Canis lupus familiaris: one gene and its partners. The protein of the gene in region 2 interacts with the protein of the main gene of each other region in a pairwise test. Links are inferred from orthologs where the notes say so. Each region holds a gene or a part of one and is shown on either strand. Other genes may lie near its edges. The genes, in order: CNKSR1, CYTH4, FOS and IPCEF1.

Evidence for each region.
Region 1: the proteins of CYTH4 (region 2) and CNKSR1 interact in binary tests that used the Homo sapiens proteins (3 or more experiments, as listed by UniProt). The two-hybrid records come from large-scale screens. The link is inferred for Canis lupus familiaris from reciprocal best matches to the Homo sapiens genes CYTH4 and CNKSR1.
Region 3: the proteins of CYTH4 (region 2) and FOS interact in a two-hybrid assay, tested with the Homo sapiens proteins (2 studies listed by BioGRID and IntAct). The two-hybrid records come from large-scale screens. The link is inferred for Canis lupus familiaris from reciprocal best matches to the Homo sapiens genes CYTH4 and FOS.
Region 4: the proteins of CYTH4 (region 2) and IPCEF1 interact in binary tests that used the Homo sapiens proteins (3 or more experiments, as listed by UniProt). The link is inferred for Canis lupus familiaris from reciprocal best matches to the Homo sapiens genes CYTH4 and IPCEF1.

The regions. Positions count from the first base shown.
Region 1 is NC_049223.1:73,208,648-73,213,928, reverse strand, and holds the start of CNKSR1 (connector enhancer of kinase suppressor of ras 1), read left to right. Parts: upstream 1-2,090; 5' UTR 2,091-2,202; coding exon 2,203-2,254; exon of another isoform or gene 2,255-2,468; intron 2,469-2,469; exon of another isoform or gene 2,470-3,256; coding exon of another isoform or gene 3,257-3,278; exon of another isoform or gene 3,279-3,320; intron 3,321-3,328; exon of another isoform or gene 3,329-4,112; coding exon 4,113-4,270; exon of another isoform or gene 4,271-4,374; coding exon 4,375-4,556; exon of another isoform or gene 4,557-4,635; intron 4,636-5,162; coding exon 5,163-5,247; intron 5,248-5,281. UniProt on the Homo sapiens protein: May function as an adapter protein or regulator of Ras signaling pathways.
Region 2 is NC_049231.1:28,266,293-28,271,395, forward strand, and holds the start of CYTH4 (cytohesin-4), read right to left. Parts: upstream 3,123-5,103; 5' UTR 2,947-3,122; coding exon 2,928-2,946; intron 1-2,927. UniProt on the Homo sapiens protein: Promotes guanine-nucleotide exchange on ARF1 and ARF5. Promotes the activation of ARF factors through replacement of GDP with GTP.
Region 3 is NC_049229.1:48,647,271-48,652,423, reverse strand, and holds the start of FOS (proto-oncogene c-Fos), read right to left. Parts: upstream 3,397-5,153; 5' UTR 3,237-3,396; coding exon 3,096-3,236; intron 2,359-3,095; coding exon 2,107-2,358; intron 1,669-2,106; coding exon 1,561-1,668; intron 1,437-1,560; coding exon 795-1,436; 3' UTR 1-794. UniProt on the Homo sapiens protein: Nuclear phosphoprotein which forms a tight but non-covalently linked complex with the JUN/AP-1 transcription factor. In the heterodimer, FOS and JUN/AP-1 basic regions each seems to interact with symmetrical DNA half sites.
Region 4 is NC_049222.1:44,640,074-44,645,271, reverse strand, and holds the start of IPCEF1 (interactor protein for cytohesin exchange factors 1), read left to right. Parts: upstream 1-1,751; 5' UTR 1,752-1,752; coding exon 1,753-1,915; intron 1,916-5,198. UniProt on the Homo sapiens protein: Enhances the promotion of guanine-nucleotide exchange by PSCD2 on ARF6 in a concentration-dependent manner.

The DNA of each region.
Region 1 (5,281 bases), on a different chromosome or scaffold from region 2:
TAAGAGAAAGGCTCCTAACTGGGATTTAGAATTTAGGGGGCCCATAAACTTGGATGGGAAAAATGGTATGTTTTTGCTAACTTGTAATAGAGATTTACCATTTCTGGTGCCTGGGTGGCTCAGTTGGTTAGGCATCTGCCTTCGACTCCCGTCATGGCCTCTGGGTCCTAGGATTGAGCACTGAGGCAGGCTCCCAGCTCAGCCAGGAGTCTGTTTTTCCCTCTCCCTCTGTCTCTTCCCCTGGTTGTGCTCTCTCTGTCTCTCTCAAATGAATAAATACAAATTTTTTTTAAATTACCATTTTGGGAATCCTTGGGTGGCTCTGTAGTTTAGCGCCTGCCTTTGGCCCAGGGCGTGATCCTGGAGTCCCGGGATCGAGTCCCACATCGGGCTCCCTGCATGGAGCCTGCTTCTCCCTCTGCCTGTGTCTCTCATGAATAAATAAATCTCTTAAAAATAGATAAAATTACCATTTCTTTCTACATGGATTGAAGTATGAACAGTATCTGGCTTTGTCACCTATTAAAATCACAGATATTTTTATACCAAATTATAGTTATTCAAATATCTCAACATTGTATATGCTCATAATTATTTCAAAATCATGATAGTTATAAACCCATTTCAGACACTCCTGCTATGTAGCTGCCATGGATTGGGCACCTCTAGGTCTAGTAGAGGGTCAGTGACCAAATGGTGAATCTCCCTGTTCTCACACTGGTGACCCAGGCTTCTCCATTATGCTCCTGCATTCCCTATGTTTACTTGTTAACTGATAATGTGAGAGAAGATGAATAAAAGATCACACCACAGTTTAGTGTTCTTCAAGTTTAACACCATGCTGATAACATTAAAAAGGACAATTTAACTTAACAGTCTTGTTATATTTTTTAAAGGTTTTATTCATGAGACACACACAGAGAGAGAAGCAGAGACACAGGCAGAGGGAGAAGCAGGCTCTCCTGAGAGAGCCCTATGTGGGACCCAATCTCTGAACTTCAGGATCATGCCCTGAGACAAAAGCAGAGCTCAACTGCTGAGCCATCCAGGCATCCCCTTGTTACTTTTTTTTTTTTTTTTTTTTGAGATTTTATTTATTCATGATAGAGAGGCAGAGACACAGGCAGAGGGAGAAACAGGCTCCATTCAGGGAGCCTGACACAGGATTCGATCCCGGGACTCCAGGATCACGCCCTGGGCCAAAGGCAGGCGCTGAACCGCTGAGCCACCCAGGGATCCCAAGATTTTATTTATTGATGAGAGACACACAGAGAGAGGCAGAGACATAGGTAAAGGGAGAAGCAGGCTCCCTGCTGGGAGCCAGATGTGTGACTGTATCCCAGGACCCCGGGATCACCTGAGCCAAAGACAGATGATCAACCACTGAGCACCCAGGTACCCAACAGTCTTGTTATCTGATGCTGATAAACACATTACTGTATCATCAATGTATGGGTTTTTTTTAAGACGTTATTTTTTCTCTACACCCAACGTGGGACTCAAACTCACAACCCCAAGAGCAAGAGTTGCACACTCTACTGACTGAGCCCGCCAGGCTCCCCAATCATAAATCCGTGTTTTAAATATGTTTTGGTTATGATTCTCTTCCTTGTAATCTTCAGCATTTCTTTAATGCTTCCAAAAGCCCAATTCTGAGAAAGGGTCCATCGGTTTCACCAGACTGCCAGAAGGGTCTGTGTGTGTGCCCAAAACAGAGGGGGACTAGAAACCCCTGTTCCAAAAAGTTTTGGCGCTATTAAGACAGGTACTCGGCACAGCAGCCCATTTTGCGGAGAACCATGCACGGTGGGTAGGGTTTTGGAGCTAACAAGCTGCAAAGCTGGTTTTCGCTGCCAGGGTTCTGGCTCCTTCTGTGCTCTGACTTGTTTTGTTTTGAGGAGCCTCTTTTGAGGTCAAAGTGCAGTTTGGGGCGGGATCCCGGCCCGCTCCAAAGTCGCCAGGGTCGCAGAGCGGCGGCACCGCCCCGGGTCAGGCGGCCGGGCAGCCCGCGGGGGCGGGAGGCGGGGCGGCGGCGGGCCAATGGCAGCGGCAGCGCCTCACCTGGCCGTGCCCGTGCGCCCAGGTGTGCTGCTGGCTCCGCCCGGGGCCCGGCCCGGGGCCCTCCCCAGGCCGGACTCCGGGAGCGGAAATTCCTGCGCGGGCGGGCCCGGCGGGAGCGGCTGCGGGCGGGCGGTCCGGGCCATGGAGCCAGTAGCGACCTGGAGCCCCGGGAAGGTGGCGGCTTGGCTGAGAGGTGGGCCTGGGCAGAGTCGGGCTGGAGGGGCGCTGGCACGAGCAGACGAAACGGAAAAGGGACGTGCCAGGTCTGTCAGCGGCTTGGTCAACAAGTAGTTCGGGGCGCCTGGCCAGGCGGAGGGATCGACGAGACGCCCCGGGGGCCGGGAGCTCAGCAGGGGTCCCCCAGCGCCGCGCCAGGGGCCGCGGGGGTGCGGGCGGGGAGGCGGCGCCTGCGGGATGAAAACAGAGGGACGGGCCGGCGCCCACGGCCGCCCAAGCGCCTTCATCTTCCCTCCGCCCCAGGGCTCGGTGGGCTGGTATTAAACCCATTTATCAGAAGCGGAAACTGACGCACTGAGCCAGGAAGTGATTTGCTAGGGCTGGGCAACAGGGCCCGTCCTCCTGTCTTTTCCCTTCTCTCCACTTTGAGAGAAACAGAAGGCCCAGTCAGACCGAAGGGGTTGGCACAGCCGCATCCTGGGGCCCCGGGGGAGAGGACGTGGTGGCCAGAGTCACTGAGCCCCGAAGGCGGGGAAAGGGCCCAGACTGCAGCTGGAGAGGGGAGGGGAGTCCTGACAGCCCTCCCGGGGAGCCCGAGCGGGGAGGGGAGTGGAGCTCCCTGCTGGCAGGCTCAGGCCGAGCAGCCCTGGAAAAGCAGGGCTTCAGGGCTGGAGTCAGACTCCCAGGCTGAGTTCCAGGCCCCACCGCTCCACTTACCAGCTCTGCGACCAGAGGTCTCGGTTTCTCTGTCCGTAAGATTAGAAAGTCAACAGCCATCTCATGGAGTAGACAAAATGAGACCATCGCAGCAGGTGCCTAGCCTGCGTGGCTCAAGGTAGACTTGGGAGGAAGGCGGCGCAGCAAGGTCACCGTACTCGGCAGAGGAGCTGCCTGAGGGCTGGAGCCCTGGAGTAGCAGGTCCACCAACTCCCAGTCCAGTGTTCTTAATGTCACACGGGGAACGAGGAAGAGCTATTAATGACCGCTCACATTCCCTAATGATGGAGCCTCACTTGGGATGGAAGGAACTCCTTCAAAGAGTGAGCAAGCTACTTCATCTCTATTTGTATCCATTTTCCCACCTATAAAATGAGGATAATAATAGTCGTTACCTCCTACATTCAGTGAGCACCAAATGTGTTAATACATAGAAAACCCTTAAAATCTTGCCTAGCACATAAGCTTTCAATGGAATTTTTCCTGTCTTCGGTCTGCCTCGTCTACCTTGTGCCAGGCATGGGCTAGAGTTAAGGAGGAACAGTTTTGGATGGCCTAGAGCATGAGGGGCAGTGGGAGCTGGAGAGATCCCAACCCACCCCGGGGAGTTATGGAAAGCTTCCTGGAGGGAGTTAGATTGAAAGGGAGGGTGAAGGAGCTAGAAGAATCCAGGCAGAAGAAATAGTGCATGTGAGGACCCTGAGGCAAAAGAGCATTCCAGGAGCTCCAGGGAGTTAGGGCTCTGGATCTAGAGTATTGAGTTTGAGGGGCTGTGCCAGAGGATGAGACTGGAGAGTCAGGGGGGGCCTGATCATACAGGGCCTTGTAGATCAGGGTAGAGTCTGGTGATGATACCATGGCAGCTACTACTGTCTACCGTGGAATGTAGGGAATGGTCCAAGTGCTTCACGTGTTCCATGTCATTTAATACCCACATGATCAGAAAGTAGGTGCTTTTATTGTTGCCATTTCACAGGTGAGGAAGCTGAGGCATAGAGTGATTAATTTACTTGCTCAGTAAATTAGTCTGATCTAGTCTCATCTGTGAAATGGGCAGAACACGCCCTGGGTCCCAGGATTGTTGTTACGAGCAGATGGGAGGAAAGAGGGCTTTGTGAGAATGAAGAAGTGGCCTGAAAGCCCTGCTCTCCCTCTAGGCCTCCATGACTCCCTACAGGACTACTGCTTTGAGGAATGGGAACTGCCTGGCAAGTACCTGCTCCAGCTCTGTCCCCGAAGCCTTGAGGCTCTGACCGTGTGGCCTCTGGGCCACCAGGAGCTCATCCTGGAAGGGGTGGAACAGCTCCGGGCCCTGGTGAGTGAATGGTGGCCACACTTGTGCAGCTTCCACCCATCTGGGGGTTGCTGATGAGGGGCCGTCTACTGCCAGGAGATAACCTGCCTTTTTTTCTGGCACAGAGCTCTGGGCTACAGACAGAGAACCTTCAGAGCCTGACAGAGAGATTGCTGGAGGGGATCTATGCTTTCCAGAGCTTAGTCCAAGGTCACCTGGAGGGCTGTGTGGAGCCCCCTGCCCATGTCCTCAGTGCAGCTGTGAAACTGATACATGAGGCCCATACCCTCCTCTTCTGGCTCAACAGGTACCCGGGGCTCCTCCTAAGACCCTGGTTGGGCCAGCTGATGAGGGGGACCCTCCTCGTCCTTGGCCTCCTCTGGGACCTGGGAATGAAGAACAGAGCTTGGCTGTTCCGATGTGGAGCAGGGCAAGAAGATTATTTGGTCTGTGTTGGGGGCATCAGGGCACCTGGCTTCCCACCCACCCCCAGCTTGTAATCAGAACAGTCAACACTGCATGAAGAGTTTCTTTACTCCCTTCAACTGCTGCCGCTTATCCCATAGGTCCCGGCTCAAATGTCACCTCTCTGGGAAGCCTTCCCTGTTGTACGTTCTCAGAGCTCCCTATACTTCACAGCAGATCAAATCATATCATTATTGATGTAATCATAGGTTTAAGGTCTGTCTCCCCGGTGCCTAGAACAGGGCTTGGCATGTATTATGCACTTGACAAATAAGTCCTTTGCTAAGCTCTTTAGATTTATCAGTCCTCTCGTTTACCCCAACCAAAACCCATCAGGGCGGATATTATCTCTCCCCATGTGTCAGACAGGTAGTTGGCTCTGAGTGGTTCCATGACTTGACTGGTCATCACAGTCCCCTAATCACTGTTCCACCCTTCCCCCTGCCAGATACCTCTTCTCCCACTTAAACGACTTCTCGGCCTGCCAGAAGATTGGGGAGTTGTGCGGGGAGCTGGGCCAGGCCTTGCAGGAGGTAGGAGAACCAAAGGCCGGGCTTGGCCTGGGCC
Region 2 (5,103 bases):
GGGGTTCCTCCGCATTTCAGCGCAGAGGGTCCAGATGGTTCGGGGAGGGTGCCAAGGACACAGAGTGAGTGGAGGGTGACAGGGACGTAGAGTGAGAGGGCCATTTCTGATTCCCAGCCAGGCGATGCTGGTGTTTTAAGCCCTGGAGCAGCTTAGGGGAGGTGTTTTGTTTTTTTTTTTCTATTTGTTTTTATTGAAGTTTGATTTGCCAAATATAGTATAACATCCAGTGCTCATCCCATCAAGTGCCCTCCTTAGTGCCTCTCACCCAGTCTCCCCAATGCTCTGCATCACTTGCCATCGGGGAAATACAAATCAAAACCACAATGAGATACCACCCCAAACCAGTGAGAACGGGTTTTGATGACAATAGTGATAAAACACAAACAATAATAACATGAGAAGGACAATAGCCACCACCATGAACTCTCTTGACTCCTCAGCTTGACTCTAATTTTCAGGCCTCACAAGGGCCAGTTTTGGACAACTGAGCCCACGCCTGCTGCAGGCTGTGGTTGCCCTCTGCACCCGTGCCCAGGCTGCGGGGAGTGCCCGGGGGCCCACCCCGACCACCTCCCCAACTCCTCCCTGCTTCCCCTTTGTCCTTCCTCTTTCCCATCATATTTTTAGAAATCATTCTGCTTGCAGCCTGGCTTCCAGGACAGCTGGCCTTGCTTCCGCTTTCCAGGGCGAGAGGAGGGTGCTCTCCTGGGGCCCCCCCCAGGGGGCAGAGGCGCCTCAGAGTCTCCGCGTGAGGGGCACCCAGGCAGGAGGGGGTGTCTGGCGGAGCGGCTCCGCCCCAGCCCCTGAGGCTCTGTGGGTGTCCGTGTGGCTTCCTCCCCACCCCCAGAGCCAAGCTGTCTCTATTTTTAACTGCACCCTAGCCTCGCTGCACCAACCCCAAGTTGTTGTCTTTGGTCACGTAGGGGCTTTGCTGCCTGGACCTCTCAGCTTCCCAGCAGGCCCTGGGGGAGGGGGCTTGATCTGCTTCTCTGCAGGACAAGCTGGAGGAGGCCAGGTTGTCCTGGGGGAGCCCGGCCCCATCCTATCTACGGCAGAGGTGAGGAAGCAGAGCCCACAGAGGATAAAAGGCCCATCATGACCACTGGTGGGTTGGTGCAGAGCTGGGCCCCCAGCCAGGTGGGGTGAGTCCCACCCCCCACTCATTCCCCACTTTCCCAGCTCAGGCTGGGGGTGGAGGGGCCCTTATGGATGATGAATCTGAGCTCAGAGAGGGAAGTCACCTGGCTGGGGAGGAGCTTTGATTAAGACCCACTCTGGACAATGGGGGATGACCTTCCTTCCCTCCCTCTGACTCCTCCAGGAAGTTTTCCCAGCTTGTCCCCCCCCCAGGTGGAAGAAGTCGCTTCCTCATCTGCCCTGGGTCATTGTCTGCAGGATCTGTCTCCCCATCCCCCCGCATCCTGGACCAGCAGCTCCCCCAACAGCTGGGTCCCCACTGTCCCAGCACCGCTCAGCCAGCACAGGACCTGCACACCGGAGGACTGTTTGCAGCATGAGTGAATGAATGAATGAATGACCCAATCCATGGAGATCTCAAATCTCCCAGCAGACCACCTGCATTGACCTTCCTCAACCCACTCCCACCCAGGGCCAGCCTAAAGCTAAGCGGCGGCCCACCTTCTTGGTGTCCCGGCGCCTCCCACAGCCCGGGCTGACCCCTGCTCTCTTTCCTCTCAGGTTCACGTCCCTGGCCACTAACAGGCGAGTCAGCCCTCTCGTCCACTTCACCTCTTTATGGAGACGACCCTCCCTGTTCTGAAGGACCTCGGGCTGTGAGAGCAAAGTAATAGCGGTGGGAAGACAGGCAGTGTGGGCTCCGTGACTTCAGCGTCTCCTATCACCTCCCATCTGGCGAGTGACCTGGAGCCAGGTGCTACTCCTCACTGGGTCCCCTCTTGCCTTCTGGTCGCCACCTATGACATATCACGGAGCCCGTCCAGTCTGTGAGCCACCTGCCACCAAAAGCCCAAACGGGGTTGAAGGGATGGGTGGTTCTGTGTGTTCCCCAGAGCCCGCGGAGCCAGGGAGGCTGGGGGGCGGGGTCACACGGCTCTGCCTTCGGTTTTGTTGGAAGAAAGGGTTCTCTTGCTAACCGGGGTCGATGTCATCTGAAGCTTGGGGACTGGACAGCTCCCGGCAGCCTCGTCTCCTGGATCTCCAGGCAATGCTGGGATATTCTGGTTGCAGGGCACAGAGGCTTTGTCCCTCTTCTCCCTGCCTTGCAGAAACGCAGCAGGATCCTGTTGTCTCCCCTACCAGCTGCGTAGACACCTCTCCTCTTTCCCCCGGACATGCTTCTGTTCACTGGGGAGGGTCTCCGCTGCTCCTCCCTGGCCTCCACCAGCGCTCTAGGCTTGCCCTCGGCCTCCCCATCCTCAAAGGCCAGACAGGAGCTTGAGGACCCTTGTGCCACCCAGACAGCCATTGTCACCAACATTATCATCCTCAGCTCTTGCACTGCTGTCCCTTCCCCCTGGAATATTCCTTCCCCAGAAACCCATATAGATCACTCCCTCCCCCCTCCAGGTCTCTGCCCAAATGGTGCCTCCTTCTGAGGCCTTCTCCAGCACCTCTCCATCATCCTTACCCTCCTTGACTGTTCTTCCTCCTGCTTGTCACCTCCTGACATATTACATTAATACCTTTCCTGACAGTCTCCCCCGCTAGAGCGTGAGCTCATGGGAGCAGGGACAGGGCCTGCTTTGTTCACTGCACTCCCAGCCCCTGGAGCACAGCTTGGCCCCCAGCCTGAGCTCATAAACATTCATTGCATGCTTCTGCCTTTCCCACCTTATATCTATTTACATATTGATTCCTCCCAGGGTCCTGCAAAGCAAGCACAATTGTCCCCATCTTACAGAAGAGGAAACTGAGGCCCAGAGAGGTTGGCCCCAGGTGCTTACCTGGGTGGCACAAGTCCATTCTGAGGCCCTGAGGAAGGGTGGCCTGTGCTCCTGTCGCCCGCTGAGCCAGCTGCTGCTCGAGCTGGCCAGGCAGAGAGGTGTCACCTCAGCTACATCAGGCCCCTTCCGGGTCGCCCCGCCCAGCCCCGTGTGGGGAGGAAGTCCTGTCTGCTAGGATCTGGTGTGTAGGCTCTTGACAAAGCAGCACTTCCTAAAACTGGCAGAATTTCGTGTAGCAGGGACTCTGCATTTTTGGGTGCGGGCTAGGGAGATTTAGAGACAACGGAGACAAACAAAGGGAGGGATTGGGGGGATAAAAAGAGAAAGTGAGACAGAGTGGCACACCACGGGCGCGCATGCGCACACACGCGTGCAGAGAATGATGGCTGCTGGGGGACACAGCCTTCTCCAGGGAACGTCGGGCATTTACTTACCAACGTCCCCAGATGTCAGCTGAAGGGTCACCCTTGGACAACGGGGCCCCAAAGATTCTGCCCTACAAGCTCTCTTCCATCTCCTCAGCCTTGGGAAAAAGAAAATGGATTCAGTGCTAGGAAAGGCTTTGCTTCCCTTTGATGACATGCCTGGCTCTTTCCTGTCTAGTGACCAATTGGCAGTATGTTTAGTTTCTCTTTTCCCCCAGGCTGCTAGGAAACTCATAGTCAAATCCGAAGCTCCTTTACAACTGTTCCACTGTAACACATGAACTTTGGGGCCAGACTCAGCTGTGTGGCTCTCAGCTCTGCCACTTGGGTCCTGTGAGAACTCCAGCAAGGTCACTTATCTGCAGCCAGCCTCAGTTTGCTTACCTATAAAAGGGGAATAAGAGGGGTGCCTGGGGGCTCAGTCAGTTAAGCAGCTGCCTTTGGCTCAGGTCATGATCCCAGAGTCCTGGAGATGGAGCCCTGCATTGGGCTTCCTGCTCAGTGGGGAGCCTACTAACCTCTCTGGCTCCCCCCCCTCGCCCCCACCTCTTGTGCTCTCTCTGTCTCTAATAAATAAATAAAAAAAAATTTTAAAGGGAGAATAATAATCCTCACCTCAGGGTTATAGAAAAGGGGGTGGAAAGAATGTGCTTAAGATGCTTGGGACATAGTGGGTGCTTAATGAACACTATCTTCTTTTCCTTTTGGTTTTAGTTTTCTTTCTGGTTAAAATTCCCAATTTAATGCTTGTGCCTTTTCCAGCAGGTTGATCCAATTTCTTTGTGGAAAAAAGTGTTGTGTAAAGAAATATCTATTTAAAAAATGCTCACTCTGTGTAACTGTGTGTCACACATGGATTTATTCGTCTGTTTCCCTACCAGTCTGGAGGCCCCATGAGGACAAGTTCACCTCCATGTCTTCATGTCTGGTAAAAGCAATGAATGAATAAGTGAATGAATAAAAGGAACATAGGAGAAGTAGTATGGTTGATGCCAAAGTTGGCTACACTTTCCACCCTTCCCTGTGTGCACACACCTTTGCATGGTTACGCTGCCCCTCCTCCCCTCAAGAGGTGGAGTCTATTTCTCTTCCCATTGAATCTGGACTGGGCTGTGTCTGTCTCTGGCCACCTGCCTGCCCAGCTGCTGTGAGAACCAGCCTGGGCTAGCCTGCTGGAGGGTGGGAGGCCACACAGAGAAAAGCCCAGCTATCCTGACTGCGTCCTGTTGCAGCCTCATGAGTGAGTCCAGGGAACACCAAGAGAAGGACCACTAAGTGGAGTCCAACCCACATGGCTGTCCCATGGAACTGTGAGAAATAACAGAAGTTTGCTGTTTTAAGCTACCAATTTGGGGGGTGGTTTGTTACGCAGCACAAGCTCACCAGTACAGGTGAAATCCAATGCCTTCATGTCATTGAAGTGAAAACTGAGGCTCATTTCTGGAACATGCTTGACCAACTTGGATTAGTGGCCATCCTAGGGCCAGAAGTCAGGCCTACCTCCTGTCAGTCTTGTGCTCTCAGGACTCTTGGAAGCAGCCCCCCTTCTGCCCTTGGGCTCTTGCATAACTCAAGGTCATTCTCTAGGAAACCTGTTGAAGTGGTCTCCAGAGGAAATAGATTTTTCTCTACACATTTGGGTCTGAGGCACAACAGCCCATTTCCTGGGTCACTTCAAAAACAGAAACGGGGAGGAAGGTGTCATTCCCTGTGCAGAAAAGTTGACCCAGCAGGACTGGGACGGTGATCCT
Region 3 (5,153 bases), on a different chromosome or scaffold from region 2:
TAAATGCTTTTATTGACAATGTCTTTGAACAATAAGCAAACAATGCTTAAATTTTTCATTCAAATTCACTTTCCACATGTCAAAAGACCTCAAGGTAGAAAAAAATAAAATAAAAATATAAATATCTGAGAATCCATCTTAATAAATAAATTAAAAACACAATAAAACGTTTTCATGGAAAACTGTTAATGTCAGAACATTCAGACCACCTCAACAATGCATGATCAGTAACGTTACAATGAACATTGATGTTGAAGAAAAAACTACAGTACATGGATAGAGCTATTTATTTCTATCTACTAGAAAATAAAGTCATATCTTTTCTTAGTTTAATATTGGTCATTGCTAATCAGAACACACTATTGCCGGGAACACAGTAGTTATTGTTAAAATCAGCTGCACTAGATACAATTCGAAAATATCCAGCACCAGGTTAATTCCAATAATGAACCCAATAGATTAGTTAATGCTATGAGAAGACTAAAGAGAAAGAGATAAGAGACACAGACCCAGGCCTGGCTCAACATGCTACTAACTACCAGCTCTCAGATGTGTCACTGGGAACAATACACACTCCATGCGTTTTGCTACATCTCCGGAAGAGGTAAGGACTTGAGGCCGCGCGTGGATGCTTTCAAGTCCTTGAGGCCCACCGCCTGGTGTGTTTCGCGCACAGATAAGGTCCTCCCTAGGTCTACGGGAACCCTCGAGGGAAGACGTGTTTCTCCTCTCTGTAATGCACCAACTTGGGCAGTAGCACCCTAGGGTGCCTGCCGCCTCCCCTCCCTGCCTGCTCACAGGGCCAGCAGCGTGGGTGAGCTGAGCGAGTCAGAGGAGGGTTCGTTGCTGCTGCTGCCCTTGCGATGAGCGGCCGCACAGCTGGGGAAGGAGTCAGCCTCAGGGTAGGTGAAGACGAAGGAAGACGTATAGGTAGTGCAGCTAGGAGTACAGGTGACTACGGGGGTGCACAGAGGCTCGGGCTCTGTGGCCATGGGCCCCATCCCCAGGGAGCCACCATGCAGGGGCTCCCAGTCTGCTGCATAGAAGGAACCAGACAGGTCCATGTCTGGCACGGAGCGGGCGGTCTCCGAGCCGCTGGGCCTGGATGATGCTGGAAACAGGAAGTCATCAAAGGGCTCGGCCTTCAGCTCCATGCTGCCGATGCTCTTGACGGGCTCCACGGAGGGCTTGGGCTCAGGATCATTGAGGAGGGGCAGGGTGAAAGCCTCCTCGGACTCCGGGGTGGCAGCTTCGGGCAGGCCCCCGCTCAGATCTAGGGAAGCCACGGACATCTCTTCGGGGAAGCCCAGGTCATCAGGGATCTTGCAGGCAGGTCGGTGAGCTGCCAGGATGAACTCTAGTTTCTCCTTCTCCTTCAGCAGGTTGGCAATCTCGGTCTGCAGAGCAGACTTCTCGTCTTCTAGTTGGTCTGTCTCCTGTATCCAGAGGGACAGAGCAAAGCATAAGACGCGGGCCTACTCAAGGGCCCTGCTCCCGGATACCCAGTCTCCAACTTTCCCCCTAAGTTTGAAAAAGGAGTGACCCACAGGGTCTACCTACCGCTTGGAGCGTGTCAGTCAGCTCCCTCCTGCGGTTCCGGCACTTGGCTGCAGCCATCTTATTCCTTTCCCTTCGGATTCTCCTTTTCTCTTCTTCTTCTGGGGACAGCTAGAAAAACAATTTCCAAAAGGCCAACAGTCAGTAACAAGGTCTGCCATCAGCTGGGTTCAGCCACCCCGGGGTGAAACTGGTCCCTGCAGCTTCCCAGCTTCCTGGCACCCCTGCGAGGAAGCCATTTCTAACCTGCACTTGCGGGCTGGGTGTGACTTGCATTTAAAATAAGATCCTTAGCAAGAGAACAAAGAAGAGCCCGGTCTAAAAGCTGGAGAAGGAGCCTATGAGGGAAGAAATACTACCAGAGTATTTCTTGGGGTAGGACTATCAGAGTCCGGCGTGGGACGGAAATGGCTTGGAGCCAGGGTTCCTCGTGGAGGACAGATAGGTGGTGACTCCATCAGTGGCTTCGCCCTGCCCACGGTGCTCCCCAGCTCCACCAATGCCAACCCACGCCCCCTACTGAGAGAAGGTGCTGGAAGAACCGCTCACCTGTTCCACCTTGCCCCTCCGGCCAATGCTCTGAGCTCTGCCTCCCGTCATGGTCTTCACAACGCCAGCCCTGGAGTAAGCCCCAGCCGAGGGGGTGGGGACTCCATACGGGTGGGGGGCTCTGGTCTGGGACGGGGCCACGGAGGAGACCAGGGTGGGCTGCACCAGCCACTGCAGGTCCGGGCTGGTGGAGATGGCAGTCACCGTCGGGATGAAGTTGGCACTGGAGACGGCCAGATCGGTGCAGAAGTCCTAGAACGGAACAGAGGGGGCAAAGCTGACGTGAGGGAGCAGGTTCCGGACACAGGTGCGGCGGGCCGGGCGTCCAGTGCCGCATGCAGCGGCGGAGAGCGGAGGAGAAGCACGCCCCGGACTGCTCGGGGCTTCTGATGTGCCCCTCGTCCTGGAGGCAGGGGGCTCTCCGTGTCCTCCCAGGAAGCCCGCGACGCAGCGCGTTTCTCCTCCACCCTGCTGCTGCGTCCCCGTTACCCCTCCGGCATCACTCGCCTGAAAGGGGGTTTGTTATAAATATCCCTGACGTCTGCGCTGACGCAGGCGCCGCTCCGGAGTCTCCTGAATGAACTCGCTTTTTATCAATGAAACTGCCTTACACACCCGCCGGCTTCACCCTCCTCCCCCGCCCCTCCTCCCGGCTCCGGGCTGCGCGGGGAGGGGTGGGGGCGGGGGGATTGCCGCTTCCCGTCGCCTCCCGGAGGAGCCAGGCGCTAGTTCGCGAGTCTCGGCCTGGGACACGCTGCGCCCCGGGTAATGCCAGGGAGCGCGGCCCGAGGGCGGCCCCAGCCGGGCCTGCCGCGGGAGAGGGGGGCCGATCCTCGCTAGGACAGCGCGCGTGCGCCCCACCGAGTCCGGGGGTCCCGCGGTAGGGCAGCTTCCCCCCCGACTCGCCTTCCCGAGCGTCCCGCCCCGGAGTCTCCGCCCTGGGGTCGGACCCTGCCCCGGGCCCCGCGGCGGCGCGAAGCCAGCCTCACCTGCGCATTGACGGGAGAGCCCATGCTGGAGAAGGAGTCGGCCGGTGAGTGGTAGTAGGAGAGGGTGTCCCCGGCCGGGGACGCGCTGCTGCAGCGGGAGGAGGACGCCTCGTAGTCGGCGTTGAAACCAGAGAACATCATGGTCGCGGTGAGTCAGGGCCGGGGCGAGGGGCTGAGGGGCGGAGACAGGCCGGAGCTGTGGGGCAGAGCTGGGTGGGAGCGCGGTCACTGCTCGCTCGCTGCGCCGCGGCCGCCGGCTCCGTCTCGGCTTCTCGGCTGCTCGCTGCAGATGCGGTTGGAGTACGAGGCGCCGCAGCACCGCATTTATAGCAGCATTCTATGAATGAGCCCCCACCCACGTCATGGGCGCAACCATCGCGGCGCCAGGGGGGTGGCCGGCCGACCTGCGCACGCCTTCGGCCTCCTTGCCGCCGCCGCCGCCCCCGCCGCCCCCCACTGCCCGTCTTAATGTGGTCCCTTATCTCCTGAGCGATCAGCAATTTGGGTCTCCGGGGTCCCGTGGAGCCCCCGAGACGAGGGACTCCGGGGACGGCTCCCCCCACGACCGCAGGGAACGGCCGTGGAAACCTGCTGACGCAGATGTCCTAATATGGACATCCTGTGTAAGGGGGGACGGATTGACGGGAACTGCTCGCCGGCTGCAGCCAACACCGAGGGTGCAGCGCGGGGGGAGGCGGGGGCCGCGGCCGGGGGAGGGGAGGCGGGAAAGGAGAAGAACGCGAGCGAACATTCGCACCTGGTTCAATGCGGACCCTTGTTCCCCGGGCGGGGTGGGGGGATGGGCCGGGAGCGCCTTTTTACCAGTATACGGCGCCCCGGAAATGTGCTGGGGCTCAGGTATGGGAGAAACAGGTACACAGCCCGAGGGCTTAAGCCTCAGCCCCAGAAGGAATGCGCCGCCTCCACCCCCGCCCCCGGCCATTCCGGATTCTACCCTGATTCAGTGCACCCCGTGAAAGCAGACCCTCAAGCCCCCAGTCCGCAGCAGTACTAGGGCTGTTACTGCATTTGGAAGCAGAAAAGTCGGGAAATCCGAAATAAGGGAATACGTACGCTAACCTACTTTATCTACGATGTTGGGTATTTTAATTTTAATTGTTTTGGTTTTTTATTTTTAGGGAAAAAAGCGCATTTTTTTTTTCTCGGCCATACTTAGGGACATTAGCGATACCGTCAAATCTGAGACGCTAGCCAGTGAATATTGGGCAGAGCCTCCATGCAAGGATATCTGATGGGTTCGTTTGCCTAGTTCTGAGCTGGGGCCCGGGGAGTGGGATGCGATTCCGGGGGTGCTATGTGGACAAGGTGGTCAGTTGAGGGTACCGGGTGGAGAGAGTTCCCCGGGGGAGCGCAAATCCGAGCTGGGAAGTTAGACGAGGCTCGGTTCCCCCAGGAAGCTGGGCTTACTGGCTGCCCACAGCGGGTGATTTTCCAGCGCAGACTTGGGGGGGGGGGGACCGGGGGCGCTGGAAGGACTGTAGCCAGCAGCTCCCAGGAGGGAGACCTCGGCCGCTGTGGGACCTCAGGCGCGGCTCTGTGGCCTGGAAAACCGGGTTGGGGCGGTCGGGGGCTCGAGCGTGCGTTGCACCCCCAGAGACCCCCCCAGCCTCCTCCTCCGCTGCAAAGGACACCTGGGGTCACATTGCCCCAGCCCGGGTTCCAGCGCGCGGCCTCCTCCGGGGCGCGAAGTCGCAGAGCCCAGCGGAGCCCCCGTGTGCCTTCCCCACTCTTCCGGGCCCCGGGCTCGCGGTGGACCCCTGGAAAGGGGCGAGGCGGGACTAGGGCCGCGGGCGGATCCCTCGGGGCGCGCGGGGAGCCGGACCGCCGACCTGCCTCCCGCCGCCGCACCCCGGAGCCAGGCGATCCTGCTATAGATAGTAACAGGGAAGCGGCTGTTTACAGCAACACTGCGCCGCCAGGGCTGTCTCCAGGCGACGCCGCGCGGCCGGGCGCGCCGTCGGCCGGGCCAGGCCGCCCTCCCTCCTCGCTCCCCCGGGGCCTCGGCCTCCCCGGCCCCGCCGCGGCCACTCCCGCCGC
Region 4 (5,198 bases), on a different chromosome or scaffold from region 2:
CATAGTTTCTGTTTTAAAAAAAGCTGTGGCTCTGAAAACCATCTGTCAGTTCATTCTCAAAGTGGAGAGAGAGCAGAAATGTAGCAAAATGAGTGGAAAAGTTAACAGTAAAAAGGAGAAAATAAATGGAAGGAAAGAAAGAATAAGATTTTCTAAAGCATGCAGGAAATAGATCAGAATCCAGATGATAATAGAGCTTAAATTTAACAGAAAAATGCAGATGCCTGCATGGTGTCCGTTAAGCATGGGACTTGGTTTCAGCTTAGTTGTGATCTCAGGGTCATGAGATTGAGCCCCAGGTTGGGCTCCACACTGAGCGTGGAGTCTGCTTGAGTTCCTTTCTTCCTCTCCTTCTGCTCCCCCACCCTAGAATAGATAAATCTTAAAAAGAAAAAAAAAGAAGAGAAAAGAAAAGAAAAAATGTTTGAAATAATTTGGATAAAGGCATTTTTCCTTTCATGAATTTCAACTTCTTGGATCAAGTAATAACTCCAGACCATCCCCATGCCATACATCACTGTGTTTGTACTCATAGGGGGCTCTTATATTTTGTTTCCTTCTCTCCTGCTCTATCTTAACAAGAGATCTCCTGCTAACTTGCAAAACTAATGGATTTTTTCCATGTCCTTTGCTTTTATATAAGAACAAAGATGGATTTCCTTTCTTGATTCCTATGGTGCTGCTATCACAGACTACCATTTAACAGAAGATGCTTGCTTACGGCTCTCATTGCTGGTTAAGTGTACAGTTTATTGCCACACATATTACATACTTTCTGTGTCTGAGACTTCTGCCTCTAGAGTGACCAGCATTTTCTATTTCCTCTTTAGCTCTAGTTCTTGGATTAAGAATAATGCACATTGTTTGCCCATGTTCATGGACTTTCTATAAGTTTCTTTGCTGCTCTGAGAATGTTTTGTCATATACCAGGCTTGTAATTTTAAAGGATGAGCACATTATGAATTAATATGTTGGTTTTTAAAATTTTAGTTCAGCATTGTCTTGCTCTGTGAAAAAAGAACAAACCTAGGCCATAGTTTATTCTACCTGAGCTATCTTTTAAGCACAATAAATTGTCTTTTTTTAAAAAAAAAGTTTTTTTAAATTTTTATTTTATTTATGGTAAGCACACAGTGAGAGAGAGAGAGAGAGGGAGAGGCAGAGACATAGGCAGAGGGAGAAGCAGGCTCCATGCACCAGGAGCCCGATGTGGGATTCGATCCCGGGTCTCCAGGATGGCGCCCTGGGCCAAAGGCAGGCGCCAAACTGCTGCGCCACCCAGGGATCCCTAAAATAAGTTTTTATTTAAATTTCAGGTAGTTAACATACAATGTAATATTAGTCTCAGGTGTATAGTATAGTGATTCAGCACTTCCATACAACACCCGGTACTCATCTGAATCATTTCCTTTTCAAAAACCTTTAAAACTGGCCATGGTGCTTATTTTGCTGTATTATTCCAAAGATTATAAGGTCTAGAGGGGAGGCAAGTTACTTTTGGATCAGCTGAACCAATAACTGCCTTTAGGAATTTCTTTCTTCGTTCTTTAACAAAAAGTACCAATTATACTAGTAACTGCCTTCTTTATCAATAGAGCGTTGGTTGCATGTTGATATTCTTGGTTTATTCTTCAGTTTTAAAATGATATAAGACCAGAATCCCTATTTCTAACTTAACTAATTTGCTAAACAGTTCTTGAAATATATTGCTAGAATAAACTTATATTTTGTTTGTGCCTGAAACAAAATAGAATGATTCTTCACCAGCATCTAGTGAAGAAAAATGATTCTTCATCAGCTTGGGCTTCTATGCCAAAATACCATAACTGGGTGCCTTGTCCACAACACAAATTGATTTGTCATTGTTCTGGAGGCTGGGAGTTCAAGATCATGGTGCCATCACGGTCGGGTTCTGGTAAGAGCTCTCTTCTGACTTGCAGATTGCCAATTCTTCTTGTCTCTTGGTGTGGTAGAAAGAGAGGGAGCTAGCTCTCTGGCCTCTTTAATGGCCTTAATCCCATTTATGAGAACTCCACTGTCATGACCTAATCAGCATCCAAAGGCCTCACCTCCAAACACATTACATGGGGATTAAATCAAAACCTACGAATTTTGGGAGGGGGAGTGGAGAACACACATAGTCAATCCATAACAATCAGTATATATTAAGGAATTTTTCTTCCTTGAAATTAGCTTTATTATTCATTTGGTAATGAAATGTGTTTTCCACTTTTTAGTTACAGAGCTTATCAGGAATACATTTTATTTCATTTCACAAACTTAAAGTATTTATGACCTCATTGTTTTGGCTGAGTCTCATATGGTGTTGTGTTAAGGAGTTGTTTTTTAAAGAAGTTAATAGTCTCAAATGGGACTGAGAAAACTATTCCCCGAAACCCTTAAACTCTGAAACAAGGCACCCAAAATGTCTCTAGGAGAGTAGGATAGGGAGTTTAATCAACCTTGAAGAGTAAAAGCTATTTTATTTGATGAAACCTGTTATCATACTTGCTCACATCCTTTAGTTGTGTGCTAATTCCATCAGGAAGAATTGTTTTCTATAACAAAGCCATTTCCAGGTAATTACTCCCATTCAAGATAATTGCTACCACTTGGTGAGTATGCATAGGGTCCTGCAAGTTTCTCATGTGATATTTCATTTAATTCTCACAAAATCTCTGAGCTTATTGTTATTATTTCTGTTTAACATATGAGGTGTCTATTTAGGCAAACTAAGTGATTCTAAGAAGTTTCCACATTTAATGAGTGGCAAGGTGAAATGTTTGACCCTAATGCTTATGTGTGTTGTAGTTTTGAAACATGTTATTTTGGTTGTGTACCCAGAAAGTAATTTGGAAGCCCTATATACTCCTTGACACCTTACATTGTCACCTAGTTTTTATTATATGTTTCAATAGTTGCAAAAGATGTCATTTCTGGCACATGATAAATCTTGTTATAAAAGGTTATATTTAAAAATATGTATATTTCTTTTGATATATATTAAAAGAACTATAACCTGTGTGATATAAATAGCAGAGATCTGATATGTCTCACATATATATTTTTTAAAAAGTCATCTTTGGAGTTTTAATTTTACATTGCTGTTTTCTTCTCCACCCCATTCCACCCTCCGGGAACTCATATTTTTATTCTACTATTCCATGGATTTTTATGCAATTATATATATGTTTTAAAATCTTTCATTGATGGTTTTATACATTTCAGCAAAAAATACATATTTAAACTGAAATTGATTTAATTTTTGTGCATGACAAATTCTTTAAGCCATATAAGATTTCATTTGGAGTGGGTTATCACTATAATTATTAGTACATAATTTAACAAATAACATGAATATGATATTTTGACAAAATAATGATTAATACAAGAGGTACATATTTTTATTGAGAATGCATCATTTAATAAAATATATGAGGCTTTCCCCCTAATTATAGAATTGCTTATAGGTGAATATTATTTATTGCTAGAATGAGAGAGAGTTCAGCACCAATTTTGATCCTTTTCTTGGTTTTTATGTATGTGACCTTAGACCTGTTTTACACATAAATAAATAGTTGGGAATGAAGCACTCTTGAACCCCTTCCAACTATATGTCAAATACCTCATGTGATCTATCACAGCAACTACTTTTAATAAATAACAATTAAAATAAATTTTTAAAAATCTTGTTGAAAGCAAAGAATTAGAAACTTCTTGACTCATGAAAGGTATTTGTTGCCTTATCATTAGGTTCTTATACACTTTTAATTCCTGGGTATTATACAAAAATCCTCCATAAAAAAAATCCTTTATCAAGAGATATCAAATAACTATTCCTTCTTCCTTGAACTCTTTTTACTTATGAGCAGCTTGCTTAAACTGATACACTCAGGAAGTGTTGGGAACAAGGCAAAATTATTACTTTCAAAACACCTTTGTCAGCATCATTTTTTTTATGAACTGCTTTTATTGTGTGCTTTATAAATATTTTTATCAAAATCTTGGTGCTACATATTTAGCTTGTCAATATATAGATAACAAGTATGCTGTACCATGGTTAGCTGAGCTGGTTCTCCTTGTCTAAACAATAAGCAAACATATTTATATTAGTATCCATGACCACCATTTCATTTCCTAATTCTTTTGGATTATGGGTCTGTGCTTTTTATGGAAGAGGAGAAGCAACATTTGAGTTTAAATTGTTTTGATGATTCTGCCTCAAATTATCTTTGAAGCTTCTTGGTGAAACTTTTGATTTCATGTATGTTTACTACTTCAAGAAATAATGTACTGAAACTCTAAAATTATTAAGTAAACACTGACACATAGCCTCTACAATGGCTCTGTGCCTAGGTATGCCCCACCCTCTGCTTTATTCTTCCCCAGCTGTACCACTGATTGTGTTTCTACCCATTTTTCTTTGATTCAGAGAAATCTGACATCAACAGTCTCCATATCCTGCAGATTGGGAAGGTGAATTCTAGAGGGATATTCCTGACAGCACCATTCCCCTAAGCAAAACACTTTGGAATTCATAGGATTTGTTTATGGAAACTCCTCTATAGTTTAGTGTTTTTACTAGTTTTTTTTTTTTTTTTTTTTTTTTTTTTTTTTTTTTTTAGATTTTATTTATTCATTCATAAATAAAGAAAGAGATTCAGGGAGAGAGAGGCAGAGACACAAGCAGGCTCCATGCAGAGAGCCTGACGTGGGACTAGATCCAGGGTCTCCAGATCACGCCCTGGGCTGCAGGCGGCGCTAAACCGCTGCGCCACAGGGGCTGCCCTACTAGTTTGTATTTTTAATTTGGTTACTCTACAAATGTCTATTGAATCATCCTGTGTACAAAGATTGGGGAAACAGTAGTAAACAAGTGAACAAGACACAGTGCCTGCCTTCAGGTAAGTTATACTATAGTGGGGAGTCAGATATGAAAGAACTAATTGTAACAATAATAACTCAGTACAGTTATGAGAACTTCTATGAATAAAAGACAATGAACATGCTATGAGAGCATGCAAAAGGAAGTTGATGTCTCATAAGAACTCAGGAAAACTTTCTTGACTAAATGACATTTGGTCTAAGGGCTGAATAAGATGGTAGCTATAAACCATCTTAAGTGGGGGCTGTTGAAGCACAGGCACAAAGCTCTAAGATTGATGAAACATATTTAAAAAATTAAAAAGAAAGCCAAT